Danio rerio: one gene and its partners. The protein of the gene in region 4 interacts with the protein of the main gene of each other region in a biochemical or structural test. Links are inferred from orthologs where the notes say so. Each region holds a gene or a part of one and is shown on either strand. Other genes may lie near its edges. The genes, in order: dab1b, apbb1, lipoprotein lipase, lrp1ab and thbs1b.

What was found.
Region 1: the proteins of lrp1ab (region 4) and dab1b form a complex in vitro, tested with the Homo sapiens proteins (2 studies listed by BioGRID). The link is inferred for Danio rerio from reciprocal best matches to the Homo sapiens genes LRP1 and DAB1.
Region 2: the proteins of lrp1ab (region 4) and apbb1 form a complex in vitro, tested with the Homo sapiens proteins (2 studies listed by BioGRID and IntAct, with this or other methods). The link is inferred for Danio rerio from reciprocal best matches to the Homo sapiens genes LRP1 and APBB1.
Region 3: the proteins of lrp1ab (region 4) and lipoprotein lipase form a complex in vitro, tested with the Homo sapiens proteins (3 studies listed by BioGRID). The link is inferred for Danio rerio from reciprocal best matches to the Homo sapiens genes LRP1 and LPL.
Region 5: the proteins of lrp1ab (region 4) and thbs1b form a complex in vitro, tested with the Homo sapiens proteins (3 studies listed by BioGRID). The link is inferred for Danio rerio from reciprocal best matches to the Homo sapiens genes LRP1 and THBS1.

Annotation. Positions count from the first base shown.
Region 1 is NC_133177.1:1,741,584-1,748,935, reverse strand, and holds the start of dab1b (DAB adaptor protein 1b), read left to right. Parts: upstream 1-3,135; 5' UTR 3,136-3,318; intron 3,319-7,352. UniProt on the Homo sapiens protein: Signaling adapter of the reelin-mediated signaling pathway, which regulates the migration and differentiation of postmitotic neurons during brain development.
Region 2 is NC_133185.1:18,264,729-18,271,330, forward strand, and holds part of apbb1 (amyloid beta precursor protein binding family B member 1), read left to right. Parts: intron 1-1,111; coding exon 1,112-1,168; intron 1,169-2,016; coding exon 2,017-2,093; intron 2,094-2,824; coding exon 2,825-2,885; intron 2,886-2,956; coding exon 2,957-3,103; intron 3,104-3,324; coding exon 3,325-3,452; exon of another isoform or gene 3,453-3,460; intron 3,461-5,521; coding exon 5,522-5,636; intron 5,637-6,602. UniProt on the Homo sapiens protein: Transcription coregulator that can have both coactivator and corepressor functions. Adapter protein that forms a transcriptionally active complex with the gamma-secretase-derived amyloid precursor protein (APP) intracellular domain.
Region 3 is NC_133177.1:58,680,172-58,687,271, forward strand, and holds the start of lipoprotein lipase, read left to right. Parts: upstream 1-2,442; 5' UTR 2,443-2,546; coding exon 2,547-2,637; intron 2,638-3,290; coding exon 3,291-3,454; intron 3,455-6,137; coding exon 6,138-6,317; intron 6,318-7,100. UniProt on the Homo sapiens protein: Key enzyme in triglyceride metabolism.
Region 4 is NC_133198.1:28,413,588-28,420,189, reverse strand, and holds part of lrp1ab (low-density lipoprotein receptor-related protein 1), read left to right. Parts: intron 1-99; coding exon 100-206; intron 207-1,523; coding exon 1,524-1,656; intron 1,657-1,751; coding exon 1,752-1,874; intron 1,875-4,577; coding exon 4,578-4,700; intron 4,701-4,777; coding exon 4,778-4,906; intron 4,907-5,289; coding exon 5,290-5,427; intron 5,428-5,538; coding exon 5,539-5,658; intron 5,659-6,602. UniProt on the Homo sapiens protein: Endocytic receptor involved in endocytosis and in phagocytosis of apoptotic cells. Required for early embryonic development. Involved in cellular lipid homeostasis.
Region 5 is NC_133195.1:31,774,354-31,779,742, forward strand, and holds the end of thbs1b (thrombospondin-1), read right to left. Parts: intron 4,303-5,389; coding exon 4,068-4,302; intron 3,976-4,067; coding exon 3,748-3,975; intron 3,408-3,747; coding exon 3,136-3,407; intron 2,834-3,135; coding exon 2,736-2,833; intron 1,877-2,735; coding exon 1,737-1,876; intron 1,640-1,736; coding exon 1,632-1,639; 3' UTR 21-1,631; downstream 1-20. UniProt on the Homo sapiens protein: Adhesive glycoprotein that mediates cell-to-cell and cell-to-matrix interactions.

The DNA of each region.
Region 1 (7,352 bases), on a different chromosome or scaffold from region 4:
TAAACTCTGCTGTTATTTTGGGATGATCCGCCTGGATTTTGCCTGACCAAATTTAAAAGCTTCCCAAATCTACATGCAGAGGTGTAAATGCAAAAAATGTGGTATCATTTTAAAGAAAACCCTTTAAAGAAAACACTATTGAAAGTGTGTAAAATATCTGTATATGTTGTCTGTGTTATAATAAACACCTAATAAAAGAGGCGCTTTTTGTATTTTTTTTTTATAAACTCAAATGTGAAAGTGTATATTTTAGATTGTGTGTGGTCTAGCGTGCTGTAATTAATGTTGGTGGTTCCTGCACATGTCTGTAATCAAAGGAAACAAGAAAAATGTCTCCACCATAATCTATGCAGAAGTTATTGTATTCCAACTGATGAGAGGTGCTGTACAAGCCACAGGGATCATCATTGTTTTCATATTTCACGATTCTTTTGTTTGATCAAACATAATTCACTGTGTTTGGAGCACGTCAGACATATAAAAGGATTACTTATGCACATCACCTCAAAAACAGAGGAGAATGGCCCTGAAGCGCACAGCATAAGGTGAGAGATGACAGCTGTCTGTGCTATCTGGGGCTGCTTATTGATCATAAATGTATTGTTTTCACTTCTGCGCCATGGAAACACCGAGATTCATTCGACAACAGTTTGATATGTGAATATAATTCAGTCAAAAGAATGCTAGAACCGTATGAGCACCGGCAAGAGCTTTCATTTGAGCTATAACTTGTACATGTGTCATATGAAAAATATGAAAATGAACTAATGTTCAATACCCAGCCATCCCCATAATAATACCTTAATAATTAAAACTCATTCATTCTTTTTCCTTCGGATTAGTCCCTTTATTCATCAGGGGTTGCCACAGCAGAATGAACCACCAACTTATCCAGCAAATGTTTTACACAGCGGATACCCTTCCTGCTGCAACCTAGAACTGGGAAACACTCTCACATTCACACACACGCTCGTACACTGGCCAATTTATTTAATCAATTCCCCTAAAGCGCATGTGTTTAGACTTTGAGGGAAACCGGAGCAACCAGAAGAAACCCACACAAACACAGGGAGAACATGCAAACTCCACACAAAAATGGCAACTGATTCAGGCTCAAACAAGTGACCTTCTTGCTGTGAGGCCACACTGTGCTAACCACTGAGCCACTGTGCCGCCCACATTATAAGTAATTAATTAATTTTTAAATTAAGTCATTTTTTTTAGATATTTATGTTTCAAAATGTCACTATATGACAGTATTACAAATCAGACAAATCTTAGATTAGGCTCTTCCACTGTAAATGACACGTTCAAATGACGTCCAGCAGGATTAAAATGTAGGACAAAAACAAACACAGACGGCGCTGACATCACTGCAGACACAACAGAAACAACTGGGAACGAAAGCATCTGTTAAATATCAGGATTAGTGTTTATATCAGCAGTCATGCCACTGCACACTGAGGCTGCTTCGATTTTAAAAACAAAATAGCGCTCAAAGATTACGGTACAAATTTTTACAGCAATGTTTGTAAATTGACAAACTAAATACATGGACATGATCGTAGATGACAGTTGTGAACTGCCAACAACAGTCAGTCAGAATAAAGGATGCCTCTCTAACCTGAAAAAATACTACTGTAATTTACAGTAAATAAATTTGTTTTAATAAATTGTTTTGGATTCATCGTAAAAATACAGCAACCGTAGAATTATTGAACTGGTAAACTAATAAATACTGTAGAATACTTTACTTTTATGCTGCAGTAAACTGTGGTGTATAGTTGCAGAAACTATTAGCGGTTGCTAGAAGGGATACAGCTGCAGCCAAAAGTTTATTTATTGAATTAGGCCTACATATTAATTTTATTAATGTGTACCCGTAAACTCAGCCCTCCTAGTATTTTATTATATTATTCATATTATTTAGTAAATTGCCCATTAAATTGTATCCCTTCTAGACTACCTCAGTGGAGTTGACATTAATAAAATGAAATTTAATGGGTAATGGGTCAATGGCTTTGAAGTAGTCGTTAATAAAACACAAGTAATTAATTTAATTAATAAATAATCCTCGACTTCCGACCGCAGGTGCATCCCTTCTAGAGTTACCTCATGGGTGTAGAAGTTAATAAAATGCAATTTAATAGCAATTTAATTATTACTATGAATAAAACTCGGTATAATTACTATTTTTACATTACTGTAAAGGTAAGATTTAAGAGTGGTCGTTAATAAAACACCGTTAATTAAATTAATCTTTAACTTCCGACCGCAGATGTATCCCTTCTAGACGTTTACCTCAGCTGGAGTCGACGTTAACAAAATGCGATAATGGGTAATTTAATTAATAATATTAATAACACTCAGTGAATGACTGTTTTAACATTACTGTTAAGGTTGAGGTCAGGGTAGTCGATAATAAAACACAATTAATGGCTAATTTAATAACAGAAATAATTCCAGCTAACCTCCGACTCCAGCTGTATTCCTGCTAGACTTTACCTCAGTTTATAAAATGCAGTTTAATGGGTAATTTACTGAATAACATGAATCATACTCGGTATGATTACTGTTTTTATATTTCTGTGGGGATTATGTCTGGGGGTAGTCGTTAATAAAAACACAAGTAATGGTTGATTTACTGAATATTGGAAATGCGTTAACTTCTGACCGCAGCTGTATCCGTTCTAGCAACAACCGTCAACCGGTGATTTTGTTTGTATTTCGATATGTATCGCGTTTCCATAGCAACACATTCAAGCAAAATAAAAAATAACACTACAGCATCAACTACAGATATTTTTATTAATGTTGGACTCCAGCCAATTTTTAAACACCAATCTAAAACATTATTCGTACGTTTTTTGCCCTGTACATCACCTGAGTGTTTTGAACATAGACCGTCAAAAGCACTACAGATTTGGGCATCTGTTAGTTTATATATATGTAACGGGTGGGCTTCTGATTCCCCCATTTTCCACTTAATCCTCTCCCATCCCCCTTCAACTCATCTCCGCATTATCCTCCGTGCATTTGAATGATTTTGTCACGGGGGTCTTTCTGCTTTTTTTTCTCCCCCTCCCCATCGCCTCATTTCTCTCCCCTCCGCCGATTATTCTGCTGTTTTCATTTCTCTCCAGCGTCGAGAAGCGGAAACTGAGCAACTTCACATGCTGCCTCTTGATATTTGACTTTCGCATGTAGCCTATATGTACATGCAGGAATGGATTTAACTCATAATCCGAGCACTGGAGCTGCTGGACATTGATAATGGTTGGAAATAAATGGATGTATATCGGAAGTGACCGCGACGAGGTGAGTAGCAATGCGTTACAGGTGCGCAGTGTGTTTATAAGACACTATAGATATTTATAAGATATTATAAGACATTATAAGATATTATAGACGTGATATTTTATTTCCGAACTCTTTATTTTGGTGTTTTTTTATGAGTTCTGCAAATATATAGATGTGAAAAGAATAATATGGTTAAATTAAAATGCATTTTTATGAAAGCATGATGACAGCAAAATATAATAAATGATGTAGCGTATCGGTTGCTAATTAGCTGATTGTTTTTTAATTGATCTGTAATTGATTGAATTGTAACGTGGGAAGTGAATCACTGTACTTAAAAATGTGTTAGATTGTGTATGGTTAGAAGCTGGGTTATTTCAACCCAAACTATGGACAAACCCAATTTTTGGTCTTGTAAATGTAATAAATAATTAACCCAGCGGTTGGTTTTGTTCATGTTTTACTAAACAAGAATGCATAATAATAATTAAAAATTAAGTTTTGATATATTTACAGTAGTACATTTACAAAATATCTTAACAGAACATGATCTTCACTTCAATTTCAGTCATTTTTGGCATACAATTATAGATTTTGTGTTAGTTTTGTAGTTCAGGGTCACATTTCTCATAGGATTTTCATATAATTTTTCCAACAACATTGGTTTATATTCATTTGTTTTTGTCTATTGAGTCTTCTATTATGTAAGCGTCAGTCGAACAAATGCACTTTTCAGGGATGTTTAGATTTACTCATCAGTTTGCATATCTGATATGATTTCACATCGCATGATCCAAACCCCCAGCACCAAATCCCAGAGTCTGTCTGTTTGTAAAATACGCTTTTGGTATTGTTGTGATTTCAGCTATCCTTATTTTTCGGCTATTAAAACTAAACCCGGACATAAAAACACTTTTAGCATAATTTAGCGCATGGAGTTTTCAGAATTTGTTAATCTTACAGTCTTTTAAAATGCTGCTTATTTTTTACCCAACAATGGGTCAAACCAAAAGCTGTTGATGTTGTTATTTATTTATTCAATTAAATTTGAATTAGAATTATGTGTTTTTGTCTTGATTCTAGTCTAAATATCTAAAACTTCTAGACAAGAAAAAAAATATTGTCTTGTTTTTAGAAATAATGCATCAAAATTTAAACAATATCTTGTACTTGTCTAGAAAATGCTTCTTTGTTTAAGATTTTTTTTAGATATTTCAACTAGAAACAAGACTAAAACGTTTAAGTAGGAACATTTTTGCAATGTAGGTTGTTTGTGTCCATATTTTGGGGTAAAATAACCCAATATTGTTTATAATGTATGAATTAGTTATGCAAAAATAGCAGAATGGGAATGTGTTTGCCGAGTGTCTACATTCAAAGTAAAAATGCTGGGTTATTTCAACTCAAATTTGGGGTAAAATATGGATGAATCCAACTTTTTGATTTATTTTGGTCATTCATTCATTCATTTTCCTTTGGCTTAGTCCCTTATTTATCTGGGATCGCCACAGCAGAATGAACCAACAACTATTCCAGCACATGTTTTACACAGCGGATGCCCTTTAAGCCACAATCCAGTACTGGGAAATCTTTTGGTTATTTGTTTTTATTAAATTCATAGACCAAATTTAACCCAACCTTTTGGGTTTGTCCACATTTTACCCAAGTTTGGCTTGAAATATCCCTCATTTAAAAAAAAAAAAAAAGTTTGAATGCATTTATATCCATGAATATGGTTTGATCTGGAAACTTTGATGCTGTGATATTAGTTCTGATTGTCATATCATTCAGATTCAAGACAGTCACATTATAAATAAATAAGCACAGAAATCAGTATGATCAGCCTCCCAACAAAACCTAAAAATTAGCATGTAAAAAAGACATATAGGTTCTTCATTCGTTTATCCTTCGGCTTAGTCCCTTTATTCATCAGGGGTTTTATCCAGCATATGTTTTACACAGCGGATGCCCTTACAGCTGCAACCAAGTACTTGGAAACACACATTCAAACACACACATACACTACGAACAGTTTAGTTCATCAATTCCCCTACAGCGCATGTGTTTAGACTGTGGGGGAATCCGGAGCACCCAGAGGAAACCCACGCAACACAGGGAGAACATGCAAACTCCACACAGAAACGCCAACTGACCCAGCCAGGACTCGAATCAGCGACCTTTATGCTGTGAGGGCACAGTGCTAACCACTGAGCCATCGTGCCGCCCCTAGTTTTGATTTAAATATTATAAATAATTCAGATTCAAGACAGTCAAGTTATAAATCTGTAAACCTAAATCTTTATATAAATAAGCATAAACACATTGCATGTAAAAATGATAAATTGAAGATTTGCTGTTCAAACTGTCTAGCTTGTGGTTCACTCCTGAAATATGAAGAGTTTAGATGCAAAAACCTCTAAGTGGCACCTGAAATTTCCTCTAAAGTGTGCATTTTTCTCAGGCTTCTGTGTCTTGGTTCAGTAATTTCACTTTTGTAGGAAAGAATAGGTCACCTTCATCGATTTTAACATGAAAGAACTGAACATAAACATGAGAGGCGGAGAAAAATGCTCGTTGTAGAAGAAAATTCTAGATGGCACTTAGAGGTTTTGCATCTGAACTCTTAATATTTTCTTGCAGATCTACCTTATATACTACATGCAATGCTCAGACAGTGGGGTTTGGATCCTGCGATGTGAAATCTTATCAGACTGACATGAAAACTGATGAGTGAATGTGAACATGCCTGAAAAGCGCATTTGTTTGACTGATGCTTACATAATAGAAGACTCAGTAGGCAAGACAAATGAATAGTAGATATGAACAGAGATTGAGTAAATGTGACCCTGGATCACAAAACCAGCATATATGTTGGAGGATGATATATATTTTTTGGCATTTAGGCAAAAAAGTACATGGCAAGGGTCAAAATTATAGATGTTTTTTTCATATTATAGTCAAATGTTAAGTATTATATATGCAGGCATATAGTCAAAGTCAAAACGATTCACCTGCCTGTAAATTTTCTTTTTCAAATATTTTCCAAATGATGTTTGACAGATTCAGTGAATTTTTCACTATATTTTATATCATATTTTTTCTTCTGGAGAAAGTCTGATTTGTTTTATTTCAGCTTGAATAAAAGCAGTTTTGTAATTATTTTAAAATAATTTTAAGGTCAATATTATATATATATATATATATATATATATATATATACAGAGGGTGTCACGATCCTCCAAATTCTCGATTCGATTACATTTTCGATTCTAAAGGCACGATTCGATTCGATTTTCGATTATGAATAATTAATTAATTAATGACCAATTAATTATTAGTAGCCCACCGTTTAAACTACCTGACCTGCATGGTCTGTTTAACCCATAAACAAATTATACAGTAAATGAATAAAGGCAAGACACACACATAATTACCACCTGTCAATCACTTTTTCTGCGGGACTCGTGAATAGGCAGTGATCTGTGTCGTTATAATGGCGTCGGTAACAAAGACGCACAACCAACAGGAACCAGCCAACAGTATCTGAGGTGTTCGCTAAAATGACTAAGTACAAGTGAGTGAAAGATTGAAGCAGTCCTCGGACTGCCTGGACCTGCTGTCTGGAGCGCATGGCTGTGTGTGCGTCTGTGTCTGTGTGGTCACGTGATGTGCATTTTCAGAGGTAGAGAGGAAGGAGGGCTGCTCAGAAATGCTACACGCCACTGTGGATGTCAAATCGTTGTTCTAAAAACAAAGACAGTGTAAACAGGGCCTGAGTGTGAACTTTTCGCGAGCGGATTTGCAACGGGGGCGGGCGGAGGATCGCGATGCCGGTGTTGTCTATCGGACGAACCGTACGTAATACGTACATAGCAGAGCTTCAAAACTGTGTTTTTTTTTGTCGACAACACGAACGTTGTCAACATAACTCACTGGAAATCCAAAATGCTTCCACACCGGCGACTTCACTGAAAGAGGAGAGGGTTTAAGTTCTGTCGACGGGTCTCCTGCTTCTGCAGTTTAACAAGCACTTCAACAAGCCTGTTTTTTTC
Region 2 (6,602 bases), on a different chromosome or scaffold from region 4:
GAACATCTGCAGAGCAAGAATGAGAGATAAGGCCTCTCATTATCTACTTTAACTTTCGCTCTTGTGGATGGTGAAACCTTGTACTCACAGACATCAATTAGCCTATAAATAATTATTTTTAATTGTTAAGCGCAAAGATTTGTTTTAAAACTATTTCTAAATTCAGTTCTAATCTCCAGCAAACGAATAAATGAACAATAATAATGAAGTGTGGTCAAAAACCTGAGTTATATCCAAATACACATGCTGTGCCCCATATGATCTATAACCTGACAGGTGGACAAATCTAAGCTTGTTTTTAATAAAACAAATATAAATATGGATATAATAAATAATACTGCTAATAATAATAACATAATACAAAAGCAAATAGTCATAAATAAACTAAAAAACCCTCCCGAGATGAAGAAGGCATGACAGTATGGTTTTTATATTTATGTTGGCTAAAAAATAATATTTTTTGTAATATTTTAATTCTTTATATTTATATTCTATATATATATCCTTATTATATCCTATATATATATATATATATATATATATATATATATATATATATATATATATATATATATATATATATATATATATATATTTTTTTTTTTTATTTTTTTTTTTTATAATTTTTCATATCTAAAGATATTTGCGTATTGCTCTACATCTTGTGTGTATTAAGCAGTGTGTAAGCGAGGCGCACAACTAACGCGCTCTGTGCTGGACGATAGACCGGCTTTGTTCTGGTCTACTGAAAAATCTATTATAGTTTCTCAAAATAGCAACGTGCTAGCAATGCACCTCAACACGCCTCCTTTTTTAGACCAGAACGCCTATGGGCGCACATATGACTGCAAATGCATTTGCTATTTAAACAGAATGGCGCAAAAGGTCAAAATGACTCTTGCGCCAAGCTGAAACTAGCAAACAACAATTGCGTCGTGCCTTGTGTTACATTGCGTCGGGTGTATGATAGGGCCCATAATCTTTAAAGGTTAATATAACATTATATTAATATAATATTATATTATAATTCTTTAGTTGATCAGCATATTCTAGTAACCCACAAGTGAGTGCAAATATACATGTTTTTAACATTGGTGCATTTTGTATTTAGATTGCATGGAATGATGTTTCACACCAGAACACATTCAGTGGTGATGAACTCTGGCAGGTAGGTTAATAATGAAGTCTCAGATAATTTTATTCAATTTTTTTTGTTTTGTTTACGATAATATTGTCAGGGTTCCTACGGGTCATGGAATTTTAAAATATCTATTCCAGAAATTAAAAGTCAGAGGTTTTTTACCATGTAATATTTTTGGACTTATTTTGGACTGTTTACCAAAATAATTTTTTTCTACACTATTTTTTTTTTTTTTTTTTTTTGCATGGTACTGTTTCACACCTGTTGTTATGGACAAGTTATTTTTCAGCTCTATTTTATTCTTTTCATGCTTATCAACTCGTATGCCCCTCAAGTTAAATACAGTCACAATATTGTACCTGTTAACCAAGGATAAGAGGCCAGGATAATATATACATTTTAAAAAATTTGTCTTCAAAATTACTCTGTGTTAAAAAGTACAGTGTTTACGGAAACCATTCAGACCCCCGTAAATATTTCACTCTGTTTCATTGCATTTGCTAAAATCATGTAAGTTCTTTTTTTTTTTCTTCATTAATGTACACACTGGACTCTATATTAACAGAAAACACAGAAATGTTGACATTTTTGCAGATTTAATAAAAAAAGAAAAACTGAAATATCCCATGGTCCTAAGTATTTAGACCCTATGCTCAGTATTTAGGAGAAGCACCCTTTTGATCAAGTACAGCCATAACAAAATAGAAAAGGATAATTTAACAGCCACATAAAACAGCAAGTAGTTATAAGACTGTAGACAGCAGACAGTAACTGTAAAACATCAAGCAGCTTTTTAGTCAGTGAAGGTCAAGCAATATCGATATTTAGCTTTAAAGTGGGAACACTGTATAATTTATTTTCTTTCTGTTTTTCAGACGGAGGTTGTATCTTCTGATGAAAGTCTGAAGGAGTTTGAGGGAGCAACTCTACGCTATGCCTCAATCAATCTCAGGTACAAGATGAATCAAAGGTTCCAATATACCCGTATCATCACATCACCCCTGTCCTGCAGCAGCTTCATTGGTTACGTGTTCAATTTCGAATTGATTTAAAAATCTTGATGTTAACATTCAAAGCCATCCACAATCTCGCCCCTCTATATTTGTTTGCCCTCATCCACAATTCTGTTTCTTCTTGCACCCTGCGATCTTGTTCCTCCCTCCACTTGTCTGTTCCCTCTGCTCGTCTAACGTCAACAGAGCATTTAACCGCTCTGCTCTGCGGCTTTGGAACTCACTACCACCTGCCATCAGAAACATTGACTCCCTCACACGCTTCAAATCAAGACTCAAAACCCAATTATTTAAGATGGCTTTTAATGCCTAAATAATTTTGTCTGCACTATTTGCTGTGTAATTTTTATTATTTCTCTTGTTGTTTTATTGCTCTTGTTTATTGTACGGTGTCCTTGAGTTGCCAGAAAGGTGCCTAATTATTATTATTATTATTATTATTATTATTATTATTATACATAAAGTTGAGTATTATTCAGTATTACCAAATTAAGTTTAACATTGCATTGACGTTATGCATTTGTTGACATTTATGTACCTATGGACGCTTCTGTTGCATTCTTATTCATTCTTTTTTAACTGAACCTGTAATTTTGGTTTTTGAGCAACAGGTGCACTGACTTTTTTTCTTCTTTTTTTCTTTTTTTCTATTACTTTTTTTTCTATTCAGTTTTTCTCAGACTGAGGAGGAAGAGGAACAGACTTGTTTCAGCAGTATTGAGGGTTCAAAGGTAAATGCATCGATGGCTGACCACATACACGACCTCGAAATGCTTGTTTTCTTCATGTTTGTGTTTTACAGTGTTTTGCAGTGCGTTCTCTGGGCTGGGTGGAAATAACAGAAGAGGAAATGGCTCCTGGCAGGAGTAGTGTTGCTGTTAATAACTGCATCCGACAGTTGTCCTACCAGAAACACAATCTAGATGACACAGCTGGCATCTGGGGTGAGGTATGTGCATCTACTTGAAATCATTTGAATTTCAAGAAAGGAAGTATCAAAGGAATGTTCAATTAGGATTGGTGGGTCCACCGTTGTCATTTGAAACTCTTCATTCATTTATTTTCTTGTCGGCTTAGTCCCTTAATAATCCAGGATTTTGAGTATCATCTATATGTTCTACAAACCTTGTACAAATAATATGATTGTATGACATTGTTTGCATTGTGTAGGGAAAGGAAATGTTGCTGGTGCTGGAAAATGAGATGCTGAATCTGTTTGAACCTCATGGACAAACACTGCTTCACTCACAGCCAATCGTTAGCATCCGTGTTTGGGGCGTCGGTCGTGATGATGGCAGGTGAGTCTGTGAGCATAATTAATAATTTGCCTACAATTTAACTTGATTTTTGCTTCATTTTTAATTGTAATGACAGCTGACGATATTCATATGATCGTAGACTGACAGATGCACAATGCTACACAAACTGAAGCATGTTTTGCTGTATTTAATTCAATCTTTTCTATGGTAACATCAATAGGCTGTTGAAAGATTGTTTTGTTGTGTAATTCAGATAATACTGCATTGCAATGTTTTAATATTTTCGTTCTGTCTGTTCTGCTGCATTCTGGATCCCAGGGAGAGGTAGAGTTGCTGTGTATATTATATTGTTTTTGTTTGCTCTTGTGTATTTTTACAATGCTAATTTGTTGATGCAAACTGCATTTGAGATTGTCTTTAAATTTGTATTTCATAAAAAGTAACTATATAAATTCCGCCTTATTCTTACATTTTTCACATTATTCTTTACATTTACTTTCATAATAAAATATTATTTTTATTTAATTTTTTATTTTTAGTTGGAGCATTTGGTCTCAGCTCATTCAACATTGACTTAAATGTTGTAACTTTCTGTGATGATAATCTTATTGATTGAAAATATCAGGACCACCCAGTGAGGGATTGCTTTACTGACATTTTAGAGTTTGTACTATTTCAGACATATTTCTCTATAGGAATATTCGTCTTCCTTGTTTTTGCAGCATTTTGTTTCAGAGAATGGATTTAAGTAGTTTTTTTTAATGTACAGTAACACAATAATTTATGTATTTTTCTTTTAATAAACCAAATTTAGAAGACACAAAATTCCACTTAACATCACAAATAGGTGGACTAAGGCTTTGTTTACACTAATACGTTTTAGTTTTAAAGTGCCGTTTTAGAATAAAAAAAGACCCGCGTCCACACTAGCGTTTCACCCAGCGTTTCTCAACAACTCTTCGTCCAGACTACACTGCTGAAACGTCACGTGACCACACACACACTCTTTCATGCGATGCAGCGTATGTGTCTGAGCTCCCGGCAGTCATGTTGGATTCTGATTTCTTGCCAGTGCATTGTGATTTATTACATGTTTTTATACATTATGTCATGAAGAAAGCAAACATACAAATGATTAAGGCATAATTTTTGCTTGTTCTGGCTAATGATTCTCTGGTTACCTCTTATAATATACAGGTTCATAATGTTCAAGTGGATTTGTAAAAGAGAACATCTTTAAGTACACCACAGGTCAAAATTATGGGGTTATTTATTTTCTATTTTTTCGTTATTATCAATTTTGTTTAATAATTTAAATAAAATTGTTTTGTTCATTAAAGCTGCATTTATTAATCATAAAGTTAAATGTATTTATTAAATATTTATTTATTACTGTATGTAGCTTCAAATGAAATTATTATTCCTGTCATTATGTTTATAACTATTACTATTAATAATAAAAATATTAATAAAATACCAATCATGATAATAATTATTCATATTATGAATTCATATTATGATTTCTGAAAGATCATGTGACTCTGAGGACTAGAGTAATGATGCTGAAAATTTACCTTTAAATCACTGAAATAAATAAAAATATATTAAAATAAATTATAAACTACTTTTGAACACTTATTTTATAGTGCAATAACGATTTTTTTTTTTTTTTACACTTTTTACTGTGTTCTTGATTAAATAAATTCAGCCTTGATGAGCAGGATAAGCTTATTTTTAAACATTTAAAAGTCCTCCTGACCCCACACTTTTAACCGGTATATGTGGTCATAGGTGTATGTGACCGATATAGTATTTCTTTGTGTTTTTCTCTATAGAAAATCTTTCTATGATGGAGTCATAAACAATATATTATCGAAATGTCAGTGAAGCATCACCTCTGGGAGCATTGCTAGTGCAGTAAACTTTTAAGACTTTTTTTTACACCAAAGGGTGTTCTAGCAGTGTCAGCTATAAGGCAGTGTTTTGTTCCCCACTCCGGGAATACATATCACATACTTCAATAAGTCCTTTATCGGAAGTTGCTGTTGGTGTGCAGATACATTGGGCTGACATCGATCTCTTTATTTGGCTGTTTTCTTTTATTGCAGGGACTTTGCATATGTGGCCAGGGACAAGTTAACACATGTGCTCAAGTGTCATGTATTTCGATGTGACACCCCGGCAAAAAACATCGCCACAAGCATGCATGAGATCTGCTCTAAGGTAAGTTATCTTTTAATATTTACACTATAATATGTAGGATTGGTTTAATCTCCATTTCAGACATTTATAAGAAGAATTAACACTTGAAATGGATCAGAAAACATAGTGAATATGTGGTGATTGATAGTAGGGGTTTTGTAGTTGACAAGCAGATGCTTATATTCAAAATGACTTCTTAATGAAAATAAAAAAGCACTTCTAACCACCAGAGAACAGCAATGTATAAATGCCATGACAAGTCTATGTTAGATAGAATTTAATTTAATATAGTTTTTTTATTATTATTACAAACGCTTAAGGCCATTGAGGCCACATTGTCTAAAATACAGATTGAAAATATGTGTTTTTAGTAGGGTTTTAGAGTCGTAAACAGACAGAGATGATTTATTTCTAAGTGAAAGGGGTATTGTGTTCAGTGTTGGGGAGGTTACTTTGGAAATGTAATAGATTACAGATTACAAATTACCCTATTTAAAATGTAATAAGTTACACTACTTTTCGATTACTTTATAAAAGTAAAGTAACTAATTACATTTGATTACTTTTTGATTACTTTTAAGTTTCGAATGGACATTTTCAACTAAATAATTTTCAAACATTTATAATGAAGACATGTTCCCCCCGGGATTTATGCCTGTGGGTGCGCCGCAAATCAAAAGCATCAGAATAGCAACGATTTAATAAATGGCCTTAGCAGAAGGCCTCGTGTATATCAAAAACAGGCAAAGCAACTGATTAATATTCCCAGGTTTTTAAAGAGAATTTATAGATGTAACCCATTTGTATTCTTAAACATTTTCACAAGTAACTGTAATGTAGTTACACATTTTTCTCAGTAACTGTAACGAATTACTGTTACTTTTATTTTGTAATTAAATTACGTAATGCTGTTACATGTAACTAGTTACTCCCCAACAATGAGTGTGTTACATAACTTGAGGGGGGTATTAACACAAAAGCTTTGCT
Region 3 (7,100 bases), on a different chromosome or scaffold from region 4:
TATAAGGGTGCCAATGACAAACATGAATTCTTCAAATTCCTGTTGACCGTTGCATAACCTGAAGGAGGACAGAAGACATTTCGACATCTGAGACTGCAGATATAAAGCAACAGCCAGACGCACTGCCAGCCTGAAATGCAGAGACAGTCACAAGGCGCTCGCTCTATCATGTTTACAAGCCTTTTTGCACTATATACTGTTCTTTATCTGCACAACTCTGGTTTGCACTCATTTGCCCTTAATGTCATTTTATTGACATTAAGGGCAAATGCTTGCATCAAATTCAAAGCTCTGATGTTTGCCTACAAAGTGACTTCTGGCATTGCTCCTTCTTATCTGCTCTCACTTCTGCAGATGTATGTGCCCTCCAGAAACTTGCGTTCTGTGAATGAACGTCGCCTCGGGGTTCCATCCCAAAGAGGGAAGAAATCACTTTCGCGAACGCTCACGCTCAATCTGCCCAGTTGGTGGAATGAACTCCCTAACTGCATCAGAACGGCAGAGTCACTCGCTGTCTTCAAGAAACGACTAAAAACTCAACTATTTAGTCTCCACTTCACTTCCTAATCTGCAATTGCCTCTCTGAATATCACACTAACTGTACCAAAAAAAAAAAAACACTAATACTACTAATACTTCCCTTCTTAGACTTTACAGACCTGAAACTTGCCTATAGCACTTATTCATTGTTGCTCTTAGTTATGTAAATTGCTTCCTTGTCCTCATTTGTAAGTCGCTTTGGATAAAAACGTCTGCTAAATGACTAAATGTAAATGTAAATGTATTGTTTACAAATTTTTATTCCTTTTGTATATTTTTAGACTGCATTTTATGTACAATTGTATATAATGTAAATTTAATTTTTCTTAAAATTCTACTTTTTATATTAACATTATATGTTATAGGCACCTAGCACCTAATTCTTTATATGTCCTGTACATGTGGCTGAATTGACAATAAAGCTGAGTTTGACTAATATCTCTATTGTTCCTCTAAAATAACAATGAGCCTCCTGTTCTTCAGACTTATCTACAAAAAGGACTAATTATTATTAATAATTATAGTGAATAACGAATAAAAGCTGGCACTGACTGTCATTCAAAACAACCAAAAAAATTACTAAAGTCCTTACTGCTGCTTGTGTGTGTTTAGATTTTGATAGGCTTAATATTATAATAAAACTTTTTTTCACATTATATATAACGCCACAGTCTACCTGAGTATTGTTGCTGACCATGTCCATCCCTTTATGTGTACTCATCTTCTGATGGCTACTTCCAGCAGGATAATGCGCCATGTCATAAAGCGTGAATCATGTCAGACTGGTTTCTTGAACATGACAATGAGTTCACTGTACTCAAATGGCCTCCACAGTCACCAGATCTTAATCCAATACAGCACCTTTGGGAATGGGAGAATCGCATCATGGATATGCAGCTGACAAATCTGCAGCGACTGCGTGATGCTGTCATGTCAATATGGAGCAAAGTCTCTGAGGAATATTTCCAGTACCATGTTGAAGCTATGCCACGAAGGATTAAGACAGTTCTGAAGGCAAAAGGGGGTCCAACCTGGTACTAGTAGGTGTACCTAATAAATAGGCCCACACGGAACCTGCGCGCACAGAATTCCACAGATTTTCCGCAGATTTCTGCAAATTTTTAGCCCATCATTAATTCTGTTTATTTACTTGAGTAAATGTGTAAATCTGAATTTGTTCAGTTTTTATTCAGTAATTTATTACTTTTTATTTTATATATTAAGGTTTTAGTTATGACACTCCACTAGATACCCCCAAAATAATTCCGCAGAAATCCGCAGATTTTTACCAAAATTCTCCCCAGAAATAGCAAAAAACGTCCGCAGATTCCGTGTGGCCCTACTAATAAAGTGAGTGTGTGTGTGTGTGTGTGTATGTATACACATATATATATATATATATATATATATATATATATATATATATATATATATATATATATATATATATATATATAATAAAATGTCTTTATAATTCAACCATAATTCATTAAAAATTGTTTTTAATTATATAAACATTTAAACCATCTTTTAAAAATATTTATCATGCAAAGAAAAATCTTAATATGCTTTAAAAACAGGTTTAACTGAGTGGATTTAGGCTGCTGTGACCATAAGCTTTTTGCGTCACTCTCTTTAAATGTAAGTGTTTAGCATCACAATGTGTAAATCTGTGCAAAGCCAGGCCAACACACAAAAAGCCTCATTCATGCATATGCATTTGTTTACGTTACGCTTGTGATTGACAGTTGGCCGAATGTAAATCTCGCTCATTTGATTTGCTGATAGCGCCGCGCTTTGAGTTGATAACCACGCCTCTCGCTCACTTTCAACCAATTGCTGAAGGGCGTGAAAAAAACACTCATTGTTCGGTATAAAAGCCGTGAACAGCTGCAGGTTCACAATGATAAATAACACGCGGAGCTTCCGTTGAAATCATTCGCTTAACATCATTGCTTAACACTGCTTTGCTCTATTAAAATTATTGATTTATTGTGTAACTTACTATGGGACAGGAAAATTTCTGGCTGCTGCTAATGGGATTTTCTCTAATTGCGAGCGAACCAATTTTCAACTCCACTGAAGAAGCGTTTGCAAGTAAGTCTATCTACTATTCGACGTGTTTCTGGTTCATGTTTAACATTTAATGTACAATCCAGCAGAAATTAATGCTCTATATGACCTGTAGAAGTCTATCACACACATATACTGAGTGTAAGAAGCTTTTGGGTCTTTATATTAGCCCTCAGAATTACATTCCTACGTTTTAAACACAAAAACTAACGTTAAAGCTCCTCATTCGTGGATAATACAGCAAAATTAGCTTGACAAACTTAGTTTATTGATTTAAATGTATGTTATATATTTTTATTGAAATATTTGACAGCTTACTTTTGCAATAAGTGCATTGCTTTCAGCTGTAGAAATATGTAAACGTATATAAACAACGCAATAGATACATGTTTGCGTTTAAATTGTCAACTCGCAGGTCCAGGATCAGTGTGGTACTATTTAATAGGATTTACTTGTACTGGACATTGCATGTGGACTGATTCTGGATTAGCAAGATTTTATAAAAGTCATGTATTACAAAGAACAATGGCTTGGAAATCATAAATCTTAGCAACTAGATTGTGTTCAGATGAGAACTTTAACATGCACATACAGCAAATTAAATAGTTAAATGCATATGCTAAGTAAATAGTTCTGATGTGAATGATATTACAAAGTGTTTACTTATTACTTTTTAGGTAATTTTACAGATTACAGTGACATTGAGTCTAAGTTCTCCATCAGAAGTGTTGAATTTCCAGACGAGGATCTTTGCTATCTTGTCCCGGGACAACAGGACTCCATTTCAGACTGTAACTTCAAAAATGATTCACAAACCTTCCTTATTATCCACGGATGGTCGGTAAGTTTAGTCATTTAGTCAGAAAATGCATTTATTAATTATGAATGAAGCATAACGTTGGTGCAATGTTTATTTATTTACATATTTTTTACTATATTTTCACCTTTCACTCCGCTTCGCTTCCCTATATGCATTCCATGTTGTACTTTAATCTTACTAGGCTTCTGCTGGTTGCAGATTTACTTGTTGTGGTTAGTTACCAAAGCTTTTATAACGGTATTATCACAATATTGACCTATAAGCTGCAAAAAACTGGTATAATAGCCCAAAAATTACTTGGTGTATTGCTTTACAGTATATATAGTACATGCTCATAATAAACATGTTTCAACCAAAATAAATTGCTAAAGGATTATAGTGCACAATAGGTAATGCTATTATAGTTACATGTTATAAGTTAATTAAAAAGCTGTATTAATTAGTTATTTACTCTATTTAATAAAACAATTACATATTTAGATTTTAGTTGTTAGACATTAGTTTTTAGGCACTATATTAGAAGTTAATCAAGTTAAACACACGTTAATTACATTGACTTTAGATGAATTAACTGATGTTGACTTGTAATATTAACAGAATTGTAAATCTTGTATGCCAGATTAACATGTGAATGTTTGAAAATAAATCAGCTATATTTATGCACTTACCGCTGTGTTAACTAACCACTAATACAACAACATGACTATTTTTAAGGGCACTCTAAAACTTTCAATTATAAATATTTATTTGCAATTATATTAGATGATATGCAAGTGATAAAGTACATCCAGGAGGTTGTTATCACAGAATAATGTCTGAGCGGTTTATCGGCAGCCTGATGTGAAAGACGGTTGGATATAACTGAAGGGTTTATTCTGCGAAAATAACCATTTTGGATGTACTTTATCCCACTTATTACATGGCTACTCGCCACAAATCATAAAAATTAGACTTAAAAATTCTGCTCTGAGCCACAATATTTTATTAATTCTTTATTTGAACGCAAAGCAGAAACAAAAACAGCTGATGGAGTATACACTAACCTGTGCATTATTCAGACACAAGATGGCGCCAATCAGCCAAAAACACAAAGCAAATAGGAATGAAAACAGCTGATGGAGTATACACTAACCTGCACATTATTCAGACACAAGATGGCGCCAAACAGTCAAAAACGCAAAGCTGACAGAAACGAAAACAGCTGCCCAACGCAATATTCAGTCAAAAGATGGCGCCAAGTAGTCAAAAACACAAAGCAGACAGGAATGAAAACAGCTGATGGAGTATACACTAACCTGCGCAATATTCAGACACAAGATGGCGCCAATCTGCCAAAAACACAAAGCAAATAGGAATGAAAACAGCTGATGGAGTATACACTAACCTGCACATTATTCAGACACAAGATGGCGCCAAACAGTCAAAAACGCAAAGCTGACAGAAACGAAAACAGCTGCCCAACGCAATATTCAGTCAAAAGATGGCGCCAAGTAGTCAAAAACACAAAGCAGACAGGAATGAAAACAGCTGATGGAGTATACACTAACCTGCGCAATATTCAGACACAAGATGGCGCCAATCAGTCAAAAACACAAAGCAGACAGGAGTGAAAACAGCTGATGGAGTATACACTAACCTGCACATTATTCAGACACAAGATGGGGCCAAACAGTCAAAAACGCAAAGCTGACAGAAACAAAAACAGCTGATGGAGTATACACTAACCTGCACATTATTCAGACACAAGATGGCGCCAAACAGTCAAAAACGCAAAGCTGACAGAAACAAAAACAGCTGCCCAACGCAATATTCAGTCACAAGATGGCGCCAAATAGTCAAAAACAAAAAGCAAACAGAAATGAAAACAGCTGATGGAGTATACACTAACCTGCACATTATTCAGACACAAGATGGCGCCAAACAGTCAAAAACGCAAAGCTGACAAAAACAAAAACAGCTGCCCAACGCAATATTCAGTCACAAGATGGCGCCAAATAGTCAAAAACAAAAAGCAAACAGAAATGAAAACAGCTGATGGAGTATACACTAACCTGTGCATTATTCAGACACAAGATGGCGCCAAACAGTCAACAACACAAAGCAGTCAGAAATGAAAACAGCTGATGGAGTATACACTAACCTGTGCATTATTCAGACACAAGATGGCGCCAAACAGTCAAAAGCACAAAGCAGACAGAAATGAAAACAGCTGATGGAGTATACACTAACCTGTGCATTATTCAGACACAAGATGCCGCCAAACAATCAAAAACACAAAGCAGACAGATGAAAACAGCTGATGGAGTATACACTAACTTGCACATTATTCAGACACTAGATGGTGCCAAACAGCCAAAAACGCAAAGCAGACAGAAACAAAAATAGCAGAATAAAGCGACTGACCAAGTATTATTACAAAAACAGTCGCATGTCAGACAAGCAGATGCATATGAATGTAAAGGTACTTAAAGTATATAGATATGAACGTGTTTACTGACGGACAAGGTGATTCGAAGTTCCCAGATGAGGTGTTATTTAGCAGTTGTTATCTCAGAATAACAAACCTTGGAATGTTGCAAATCTGACCAATCAGATTTGAGCATTCCAGACAATCATATATTTTATTATATTATATTATATTATATTATATTATATTATATTATATTATATTATATTATATTAATCCCTCTTATACTGTCTCTAGGTTGCGGGTCTGTTTGAGAGCTGGGTTTATAAGCTGGTGACGGCTCTGTATGATCGTGAACCCAGCGCTAATGTCATTGTTGTGGACTGGCTGGATCGGGCCAACAAACACTACCCCAAATCAGCAGAAAACACCAGGCTAGTGGGGGCCGACGTTGCCAAGTTTGTCAACTGGCTGGAGGTAGGCAGAGATTTGCATTGCTAGCATTGTACGTTTTATCGCTGTTGTATTTTTGTAATAACGTCATGACAGCCAAATATTACCTCAACCTTAGTACACTAAGGTTGAGCAAAAACACATAAATTAGAGATAATCCTTCCAGGTAAAAATATATAAATAATAATATAATAATAATAATAATGATAATATAATTTAATAATATAAAATATAAATTAAATAATATTTTAAAAAATTATATATACATATATAAATTTAAATAAATAAGTTTTCTATTCTGATTTCATGGTAACTTCTAATTTTTACCTATGTATATATACTTTTAAAATAATAATAAAAATAAAAACAAAACAGTTTTAAATTAAATAAAAAAGTTAAGTTAAATTAAATTACTCACTCACTGTTCTTTAGCTTCAGGGCTCACCACAGTCTAATAAACCGCCTATAATTAATCAAATTTTAGCAATGTGACATTATTGTAAATTACAAACATCCCTATGATTGTTATTGTTAACTAAACTATAATAATTGAAAAAAAAGCTGAAATAAAACAACTAAGTAAGACACTAAAATTGAACTAAAACTCAAACTGAAATAGAATAAGATAATAAGACCTAAACATAAATGTACAAAAAAACTAAATATTAAAAATGACCATATAATATCATAAAAAATACCAAACCTTTAACTGAAATAAGCTGAAATCATAAAATGAATACAATAAAAATATATCAAATAAATTTGTGAATTTCGCAGAGATGGGTTGCGGCTGGAAGGGCATCCACT
Region 4 (6,602 bases):
TCTTATGTTTTCCTTGCAGTCACCATAGTGTATTGCTGGCACATACAGAATGTCTATGTTCAGTTTCAACATTTACTTGTCTTGTTCTGTCTCTGTCAGTGCCGCGTCAGTGCTCAGAGAGTGAGTTTGCCTGCTCTAATGGCCGCTGTATTGCTGGAAGGTGGAAGTGTGATGGAGATCATGACTGCTCAGATGGATCTGATGAGGTACTGCAGTTCATTACCTCCCTTCACCACCTGTAATGCAAATTGTGTGTAGCCAATTGAAGAAGTGCAATAATCGATGGACCACTTAATCAAATCTTCACTTAACTGCAACAATTCTCCATTCAACCATGAGTTTCTGCTAAATCTAATCATTTGTTAAAACATCCTGAAAGCACTGGATTTTGTAATCGCACCAATATGAATTATATAATTTTTATATTCTATTACTTATAAATTCTATTTAATTTAGTCTCTTCTATTTGCCTTTTGATCTAGGTGTATGTAAACAAATATAACACATTCATGAATATTAATTTATTTGTAAAATTGTAGGATATTAATGAGCTACTTATGTTTATCTAGCATCCCAAGATACTCTCCATTATTATATTATATTACACACACACACACACACACACACACACACACACACACACACACACACACACACACACACACACACACACACACACACACACACACACACACACACATATATATATATGTGTGTGTGTGTGTGTGTGTGTGTGTGTGTGTGTGTGTGTGTATATATATATATATATATATATATATATATACACACACACACATTTATTTATATATATATATGCGTGTGTGTGTGTGTATATAAATAAATATATATATTTATATATATATTTATATATATATTTATATATATATATATATATATATATAACAAATTGATTGCATTTACATTCCATTCACTTTACTGTGATTACAATTACTCAATGTGTCTACTAAATGAGTTATTGGCTGTTAATTGCTCTGTATGGATATTATTATAGTTACAACCCGACCATACTGCAGTGTAATACTATAATTTTAACAATTTGCTTCACATAATACCTATTAATTATTCATTTATTTTTACCTGTTTTAATTATTCATTTATTTTTACCTATTATGTATTTGTAGTACATTTTAAACTTATATGTAAGTTATATAAATTAGATTGACACCTAAATTGTACATACTAGTGATGTTTCAGTTTGTAATTGTAGTTTTTAATACCACAATAAAAATCCTACCTGAACTAAACATTTTTAAGGACAAATAAATGAGTATAATTTAAGGACAAATAAACATTCTGTATTAAAAATTAAAACTAAATTGCAGAAATTGCTGTGATCGTATGCTGTATCCCTAATCAAACATATTTTGTAATGCTTTATTTATTGAATTAAATATTTTGAATGTGTTAAATTTTATTGTTTTTATTTAACACCATGTGTTATGTTAAGTGATATTACATGACAGTATAATATATGAATCTTTATTTCTGTGTGTGTCTGTTAGGATGGCTGTGATCTGAAGTGTGAGGAGGATCAGTTTCAGTGTAAGAATGGTCACTGTATTCCGCTCCCCTGGCGTTGTGATGCTGATGTGGACTGCCTTGATGGCAGTGATGAAGAGCGCTGTGAGATTACTGGTATGCGTGTCTGTTTATTGCAGGCTTATACATGTGTATTCTTGTTAAGATTGGTCTAATGGATTGATCTGATTTTTCTACTCCTGCTCTCTCAGAGGTGCGGCACTGCTCCAGTGAGGAGTTCCAGTGTAATAACACTCTGTGTAAACCACTGTCCTGGAAGTGTGATGGAGAGGATGATTGTGGAGATAATTCAGATGAGAACCCTGAGGCATGCAGTAAGTATACACACACACATACACGCACACACACACACGTTTGTTTTTATAAAAAGTGGGGACATTACATAGGTTTCCATACATTTTATACATCACAAACCGTATATTATATTGCCCTCACCTTGACTTACCCCTAAACCTAACCATCACAGGAGACTGTGTGCAGCTTTACTCTCTGATTAAACTCATCCTGTGGGATTTATAAGCATTTTGAGAAATGAGGACATCACCAATGTCCTCACATTTTCCTCCTTTTTGTAATACCTGTGTCATACCTATGTCATTATACAGATTAGTGTCCTGATATGTCACAAAACACGTAGACAAACACACATACACAAACACACACACACACTCAACAAAAAGAGATTGGGGAAATTTGGCTTTTCTTATAGTGTTTGTTTTAGTCTATTGTAAAAAAAATCATCCAGAATTTACATTTAACTGTTACATTTGTCAAACATTATCCATTTGTATCTGTAGATTTCAATAACAATGTATATTTTTAATAAAAGCATTTTAATTTAGGAGCATTTACTTCATTTACACCACACTTCATGGTTATATTCATATTTATATTTTGAAGGCTTTGACAGAGGAACATGCTCATGCATAATTTGCCTGAATATATACATTTAATTCTACAAAGTAATTGTGAAAATCATTTTGACTTTAATATGTCCAAAAAAGTTTAAACCAAACCTTTTTGCATGCTTTATGATGTAGTTGCTTGTTTGCATATTTAAATATAGCATTTCAGAGAATGATATACATCAGAATGTTTGTAATTCTTAATGTAATCAATAGTGAAGTATAATGGTATTTATTTATTTTTTTTATTTACCTGCCGGTATCTGTAGTTTATTAAACTTTCGCCGTTTGCTAGTTAATTTATGTAGGAAATTTTAAATAGTGTGTTAAAATAGGATTTCTGGTAACACTTGATTTTTTTGTCACAATTCACTATTAACATATTAAAGGTGCAGAAGGTGATCTGCCACAATGCTAGCCTGTTAGCATAAATCTCTAAAACACCGTCCCTCCCCTGCCGTCCAAAGCCACGCCACCTGAAAACACAAGCGCACGAACCTTAATGAAGATGACAGCAGAACCCTCTCTCATGTGTTGAGCTAAAGCTTGGCCGGCGTCGTGCAGGAATTACACTCATTATTACACTCAATTCTAAGCTGTACTTACATGCTACTTCTGACCGAATATTCAGAGTAGCGGTAAACACCATAGGAAGCGCGTCGCACGTTGTCAATGTTCAAAAATTAACCAATATGAATATAAAACCATCTTAAGCTAAGTAAAGTAGGCTAGGCGGAATAGCGTTATTTACTGATGTTCTGTTGTTAAACTAAATAAAATCTACATTATTAATGCTGTAAAAGGCCTTTATGAAACAGAAAATAGTCACATCAATCTTACACCAGAAGATTTCAGTGGCTAAACTACACTTCTGTGCCTATAACTCAGTCATAACAACCCAGTCTACATCAGCTCTGCGTGACAAAAATAGTTTCAAATCATAACATTACCTGTCCAAGAGAAATACTTGAGCCATGGTGTCGTCCTTCCTCCAGCATGCGAAAGTAACTCCAATATTGATTCAAGATTTTTAAAAAGTTTCGATTCAGCATGTTTTTACTGCTCGCTCTCTCTCTACCACTCTCGTGAACGCGCATGCACGTGTGTCCACAAATGGAAGAGCTGCGTACAAACAGGTGCGCAGTAACTTAAATTTGCATTTGCTGACAGACAGTTTGAGCTCCGTATCAGAATTATGGGAGATGTCAGCTCGACATTTAAATTGGACAAACATTTTTTAGTCTTATGCCTTAACCAGAATATAAAAATACATAAAAATACATTTAGATCACTTACTTTAATCAGTACTATTTGAATGTGAAGAGACTTTCAGCCAGCACAACAAAAAATGTTTCTGAAGGCAGTCACCTACTGCACCTTTAATTAACAGTCCTAGCTTAATAAACTAGTAATTAGCTTTTTATTAATAGTTATTAAGGTAGAAGTTGGGTTTTAGGTATTTGGTAGGATTAGGGATGCAGAACAAGATTATACTTCACTTAACTTCTAATGAACAGTTAATATCTTAATAGTAGGTAAGTTATAAGTAGGCCTACATGGAAACACGCAGATTTATAGCCCAAGTCTATTTATTTGCTTGTGTAAATGTGTTTAAATTTATATTTATTCAGCATTTAAATTATTTTAGTAATATTATTGACATATGAAAGTGTTATAAAGTAATATTTTCTAGTTTTCAGTAGATATTATACAAGAGACTTGCTTAGTTTTCAAAATAAGTGGATCTACTGTAGATGGATTTGCATTGTAAATATTAAATACAATTTAAAAGCTTTTATTTAGAAAATTTCATATATTAAGTTTTAATTTACGATACTCCCAAAATAGCAGAAATAGCAAAAAAAATGTCAGCAGATTCTGTCTGGCCCTAGTTAGCCAGTAGCTAATAGCACAAATTGTCACCTAAGCTAAAGTGTTACCAGACTTTTTTACTATGTCTGTATGGTATTTATTTCATTTATTAGTTATTAAAAAGTCTTTAATTTGATTTTAAAACCTTCTCAGTTGTCAATGTTTTGGTTGATGATGATACATTTAAAACAGAATGAATGCACTTAAAGCTAAGATTAAATCTTCTCTGCTGTTATTCAGGACACTTCCAGTGCCCACCGACTAGAAATTTCCGCTGTCGTAATAATCGTGTGTGTCTCACGAGAAGCAAGCTGTGCGATGGAGTGGACAACTGTGGAGACAACTCAGATGAGGCCAGCTGTGGTGAGTTTTCAGCTCTGCTGTGCATCAGTCATTTATCAGCGAGTGTTTGCATTAACTGTTGTGACGTGTTCATACAGACTATGAATCCACATGTGATAAAGACCAGTTCAGGTGCACCAATGGCAAATGCATCAGTGCCAACCTGCGTTGCAACTTTTTCAACGACTGTGAAGACTACGGCTCTGATGAGATCGGCTGCAAGACAGGTGAGATGCTGCTATCTGTATAGTACAGGTTTGTCACAATCAAAAATGTAAATTATATTACAATTGTATTGTTTTAATAATTATATCATAATAATAATTATACATTTATATCTTGTCAAAGTGCAAAATGCAAATAGAACTAAAAAGTGAATGAGAAAAGGTAGAAGTTCCAGCGAAATATTCTCTGAAATAATTGAATGCCATCCTTTTATGGTTTTTATTTTGTATTTTTATATATATATATATATATAAACATTGTAATTCAAATGAGTTTATTTTAATGTCCCCATCGATCGTTATGGATAAAATAAACGTTTTAATATTATAACTTGATATTGAAGTGCTCTAAATTTCTTTTTAAATTTTTCTTTTGTTTTTTGAAGACACCATGCTGAACGACTGTAAGAGTAACAAATCTCTGTGTGGAGACGGCGATGAGGCTCACTGTGTATCTAATGGCACAGACACCTTCTGCTCCTGCAAACCTGGTTTCCAAAGTGTTAGACACAACACCTGTGAAGGTACTGCCTGCAGTCTTCATAAGACCCAAAGAGACTTTATTACTCAGCACGTTATATCAGAACCTACAGTGTGCGTATTAACATTGTTAATATTGTTGCGTTTTTTTTCAGATAAGGATGAGTGCAAACAGTTTGGCGTATGTTCTCATGTGTGTAATAACACCAAAGGCTCCTACAAATGCAGCTGCCACAAATACTTCACCAGGATTAACCACACGTGCAAGGCTGATGGTACGTACTTTAATTCTTGATTCCAAGTCTGAGGTTGTCTTTAAGGGCAAAAATAACGAAATTCATTTATAAATCATTAAAGATGATTTTGAAATGAAAATTGGGGTCCTTGGAGACTTGTAAAATGCAAGTCAATGCCTACCAGCATTTTGAAAAGAAATAATAATAATAAATTATAATACCTAGTGGCAACATCCCGCTCTCCCTCATGAAGCCAATACAGAAGTAACTGAAATTACAATTTATCAACTTTCCTTTGGGGGCTCCAGGAACTCCAGATGTCCACTGACTGCAATGCTAAATTTTACAGCTGATAAAGACATGTTTATAGCCTGGTACAAAAGATGGTTTTGATGTAAATAGCCAATATTACCTTTTATAACAACTGTGAGGGGGGTGAATTTTTTTTCTATAACTCATCCGTTTAGTTTTTATTAAGTTATATTTAGTCTGCATAATTAAGGGCGTGGCCACTTAATTGACAGCTAGATCTCACTGGTCACGGTCATGCCACGTCAGCTGATTAGCCGCTGAACTTGGCATATAAATCGTATTTTTGTTTTGTTTAATGTGGCTTTACACAGTCAATGGCCTTTTGGAATTATTTCTTACAATTATCAGATAATATGGCATGCTGTGTGCACTTATTTGTGCTCACAAATCATTTAATTGGCCTCCATTTCCCAGGTGAGTGAAATGATCTGTTGACTTCTCTCCATCTGACAGATTGATTAACTGTAGGCAATAGAACAGTCATTGGAAGCATTATCATACAGTTTTATGCCTAGATTTCATAAATAGCTTAGCAGTTACTAACACAGATTATATTTGAAGAATTTGGAAGCAATTTGCTTTTTCCTCCTGTAAAAAAAACTGTATAAAAACAATGCTTAGTGGCTCAATGCTCCACTGACGGTGCAATGACGTGCAAACAAAATGGTGAC
Region 5 (5,389 bases), on a different chromosome or scaffold from region 4:
GCAGGCAAAGGCAATAAACATCCGTTTTTCGTTTACGACGTCTATCGTCTGTTTATTATTCTGAAGTATGTACCAAAATAATCGCTATACGTACTGTAAAAATAGCATTTTGCATCGTGTAACTACGTAAAAATGTTTACAGTCAAGCATCTCTAATTGTACAAAAAAAATAACAACACAATAAAGATACAAACAATGAAGAACCGAACATCCTCACGTCAGTGTGCAAACTGTTTATACAGATGGAATCGCCTCCGTCTTAGGCGGCACTCCATGATAAATTATTTAAATAGCATTTATCTACACACATATGAAACAGTCTTACAAACAGAGACAACAAATAATAATTTATCAACTTAAAAAAAAAAAAAATAAGAAGGAAAAAGTACTGGACATTGAAGCACTGGCAAATGTATTGCTTAAAAAACACACATTGTTGACTCCCATTTTTACTCTATCCATTGTGACGTTGGGCTGTTTGTTCTATATACTATTTACAACTTGTGCTACAGTAGCAATAAGGCAACCGATTTGTTTTCTTTAAGCAAAGGAAGAAAAGCTTTTGCTCGATCAAATTACAAAACAGCAATGAGGTAATATTTGTACATTTAAAGTTTTTCTTTATCTCTCTCTCTACAGAAACGGCTCAGCAGATCGTCTCCTTTGGAAGTGATGGATGAACATTTCTTGGATCGGACAGAGCTTCGATTATGAGGGTTTGCTTTTCTTTACGATGTTGAAAAACTTGCTTAAAGTGTGGGTAAAATCTGTCTAGCCAAAGCATTTTGTAAGTGCTACATAAATATACATATATTTAAAAGTCTAAACTTCCCTTAGAAATCAGCATTTGTAAAGGAGACGGGAGTGCTTGGTTATCTAGAGTCAAACGAGTGTTTCTTGTATTGCAGAATCTTTAAACCTTGCTCTGTCCAACTCCTCTTCATACTCTACAACCTCTCGTTTTGCCATTTCAAATGAATTACTAGTTTATCCATCGAGCCCTGAGAAAACTATGCCCACTATACCATGAGTTATCTCCTGCCAAACCTTCTGCTTAGCCAAAATAATAATAAAATGACAGATTGGTCCTTTTAAAAATCACCTTCTTTGGCTGGCAGATCTTTTACTTGTTACATACTTCGATATCTGAAACATTCTCATTGCTTTGCTTCTCAGTTTACAGTTTTAATAAAACACTGAATATCACAATAGTAACCTTTCTTTAAAAGGCTTCTGCTCTTTGAAGTAGCCATCATTTTGGCTTATCTCATGAATAGAGCATAGAAGCGCATGAGAGAGAGAGAGAATAAAGGTTTTGAAGTGCATAGCTGTCTGCTGGGAGCTTTTCCCCACACAGAGCCCAATGAGGTTTTTCAGAGAGATCTCGGTCTTCCCAAATAAGCCAAGCGAGGGAGACTTTCTTCTGCTCTACCTGCTAATGGTGGAGGAGTCTAGATCCGGTTTCTATCCCAACCAGTGACATTACATTGAAGTTGACCAGCTGCTTTCTCACTCCACCGGTGTGCGAGCGACAGCAGAAAAAAAGTAGCATCGAATCTGTCCCTGGACTTTGCTTGGAATACATATTTATATCGAAAGGTGCATCTTTGATAAACTTCCAGCCTGTGCAATTACGCATCTGAAAAAGGAAAAGACAGGAAGAGTTATTGTTGAGTTTCGGGAATTGATGTAAATGAGTGCTTGTTTAGAAGTCTATGCGATGTGTTGATGCTCACCTCTGCATTCGTATTTGAGGTCTGAGAAATACACCATCTCTTGTGAGAAGACGAAGAGACCTAGTCTTCCGCCTGCGTATGTTTTGTCGTAGATTCTGCCAGAATCTGCCATGATCTTTTTGCCTTCATACATGACCACTCTGAAATATGCAGAGAAATATTTTGTCAGCACATTAAGTGAAGATAATTTGGAAACTCATTTCGAGAGGATCACGTGCTTATGATTAAACACAGCTGGTCATGCATTAGCATATTTATGATTCACCAATTAGATGATTCCTAAGTAGCTATAAATACCCTAAGTCCCATATCACAACCATCTTCGTTTTGAAGAATGCCCTCTTCCACCCCTACTTCTCCTCCTTTTTTGGATGGGTGGCATAGTGGCCCAGTGGTTAACATTGTTGCCTCACAACAAGAACATCACTGGTTCTAGTCGTTACCAAGCTAGCCGACGTTTCTGTGCGGAGTTTACATGTTCTCCCCGTGGTCACATAGGTTTCCCATGGGCCCCCCGGCTGACTAATTGACTAATCTAAATCGCCACTATAGACGTGCTCCTAGTAAGTAGCTAAATCTTAAGAGCAATCCCTATCTGTTCATTAGCTACTACGGCAGGGAAGTTTCAAGATCTACCTGAGCTCAAATTCCACTCTTGCCCTGCAACGGGAGGGAGCCCTGGGCTTGAGGATCTTATGCCAAACACGCTTTATAATCAATCATCAGCTAAGTGTGAACTTTTGAAAATAGCCTTTTAAGAATGTGTATGACACATTAATACTAATACAAATGTTTGCTATTTTTCATGTTTTAAGCATCATCATTTAATTTTAGACTTATTTATAGACTAATATTATTTGCCTGCATGATGATTTCAGATGGTATTTGTAATAAAAAATACACTAGAAAAATTTTAGTTTCGATATATAACAATATTTTTTTGCAGCTTTTTAAATATATTAGATTAGGTTTTGGATTTAATAATGTTTATAATATTACCTTATGTGTCCAGTTCTTGGTCTGTGTGTCAGGTGCCATCTGTAAGCAGTAAAGTCCTTCCATCCCACATTCTTTGGGTCATGCCACAATGTGCGCACCTATAACAAATCAAGTCAAATTTAGCATTCACATGAAGGCTCTCAAACCTGATATTATCCGTTTGACTTAAGAAATAAAGAAAATATTTGAAAGAAAGCTGGAAACCTGTAACTATTGACTTCCACAGAATTTTGTTACAGTTTTTCTGACTACTGGAAGTCAATAGTTACAGGTTTTCAAAATATCTATTTCATGTTTAACAGAAGACAGATACTCGTAAAGGTTTGGAATCACTTGAGGGTGAGTAAATAGTGAGTATATTTTCAGTTTTGGGTGAACTATCCATTGAAGCACACTTTACCTGTCCTGGTGTGTCTCCAGTGTGCCAAAGGGCGTTTCTCAGATGCTCCCCAGGTCCTGTGGTGGAATTAACCACTTTGATGGACAGCCCTGAGTAACCCTGTGCTTTGGTAGGTGTGCTGGACCAGTAGGTCTGTGTGATCTGCTTCCACATGACCACATAGAAGCGAGAGCTGGACTGGTATCCGAAAACAAAACCAGCATAGTCGTCATCCCTCTCAGTGTTGATGAAGAATGTTCCACTGAAGTCCACTGAATTGAACTCATCAAAACCTTTAAGAGTTTGAAGAAACAGGTAAGAATTTTGTGGTTGCTGACATATTTTAGTTGTATGATTCATTTTTTAATGCTTTTTGAATTCAGAATGGAATATAAATTAATGGACTGCATAAAGTTTTATCCAGTCATATTTAATATAATAATTATTTTTGTTTCATTTTTGTGCTAGTTAATAAATACATTATATAATGCATGTGTCTTTGCAAGCTAAGGTACCATGCAGGATTTTGTTAACCGTTTATGTATATAAAGTTAGCATTTCCAGGTGTTTTTCCATATATTTTTCTGTCGTAGCATTCATTAAATTTAATTCTACCCTTTTTTTTTAGCTTACCAACAGCAATGCCAGGGTCGCAGTTGACTGTCTGAACCAGCTCTTTTCCTTGATGACGAACCACCCAGTTGGGATCGATCTGAGAAGTGCCCTTGGGATCCAGAGGAACCATCTGGAACTTGCGGAAGTCGGTTTCACTGATATCGAAGTTCTCAGGACAGACATCATAGATATCCAGAACATTGTCCATGTCAAAGTCATCTTTACAGGCATCGCCACGTCCATCGCCTGCAAAAGGAGGAAGGTAAACGCTTAAGTATAAATCTGTACATTTATGAGTGCAATGTGAAGTGTTACAGATATTCCGGTGTAAAACGCACCATCAGAATCTAGCTGATCTGGATTGAAGACCAGTCTGCAGTTGTCTTTTTCGTCAGGAATGCCATCATTATCATCATCGTAGTCGCAGGCATCTCCTTTACCGTCCTTGTCATGATCAGCCTGGTTGGCATTGGGGATGTATGGACAGTTGTCCAGGTTGTTCTGGTGACCGTCTTCATCGATATCCTGGTTACTGTCACATTTGTCTCCAACGCGGTCAGAATCAGAGTCCAGCTGTTGGGGTTCAAGTAGAGAATAAATATTTAAAATTTTTGGTTCAGTATTCACATTTCTACTGCGTTTTAAATTATGGGTTCCTCTTCTGGATTTCAGGTACTTTTATTTAAAAAAAAAAGAAAAAAAAAGACAACAACCATATATACATTTACAAACATCATTTTCATAATGGATGAAAATAAATCACAAATTTAAATATATGTCTTGCCTAGTTTTCTCTATTATACAGTTGAGGTCAGAATTATTAGCCCTCCCATTTTCTTCCCCTATTTGAAGATTTTTTTCAACACATTTCTGAACCAACTAGTTTTAATAACTCATTTCTAATAACTAATTTATTTAATCTTTTCCAGGATGACAGTAAATAATATTTGACTAGATATTTTTAAAAACATTTCTATACAGCTTAAAGTCACATTTAAAGGTTTAACTAGGTTAATTAGGTTAACTAGGAAGGTTAGAGTAATTAGGCAAGTTATTGTATAACAATGGTTTGTTCTGTAGACTATGGAAACTATAATATATATATATATATATATATATATATATATATATATATATATAATATTATAATATATAGCTCAAAGGGACTAATAATTTTGACCCTAAAATGGCTTAAAAACTTTATTCTAGCCGAAATAAAACAAAGAAGACTTTCTGCAAAAGAAAAAATATTATCAGACATTTTGTGAAAATTTCCTTGCTCTGTTAAACATAATTTGGGAAATATAAAAAAAGAAAAGAAAAAAACTATAAAGAGGGTCTAATAATTCTGACTTCAACTGTAAGTATGTGTGTGTATATACATTACGAAATCTTGTTATACTTGCTATTTTCAACGTGACATTATTGTGACATGTATATTAGTGGCTAAAACTTTGAGCTCTCACTGTATTTTGTTCTTTCAGATAATTTACATCAATAACATTATTATTAAACAAGACCATAATCTTACTGCAGAAACACTTGAATTGAGTTTGATTTGGGGCTATTCATGGTCTACTTAAAGTAATTTGTTTATTCTAATAAGCTGCTTTTAAAGTTGAATGAACTGAGTAGAATAATGCCACCTCATTTTACAATG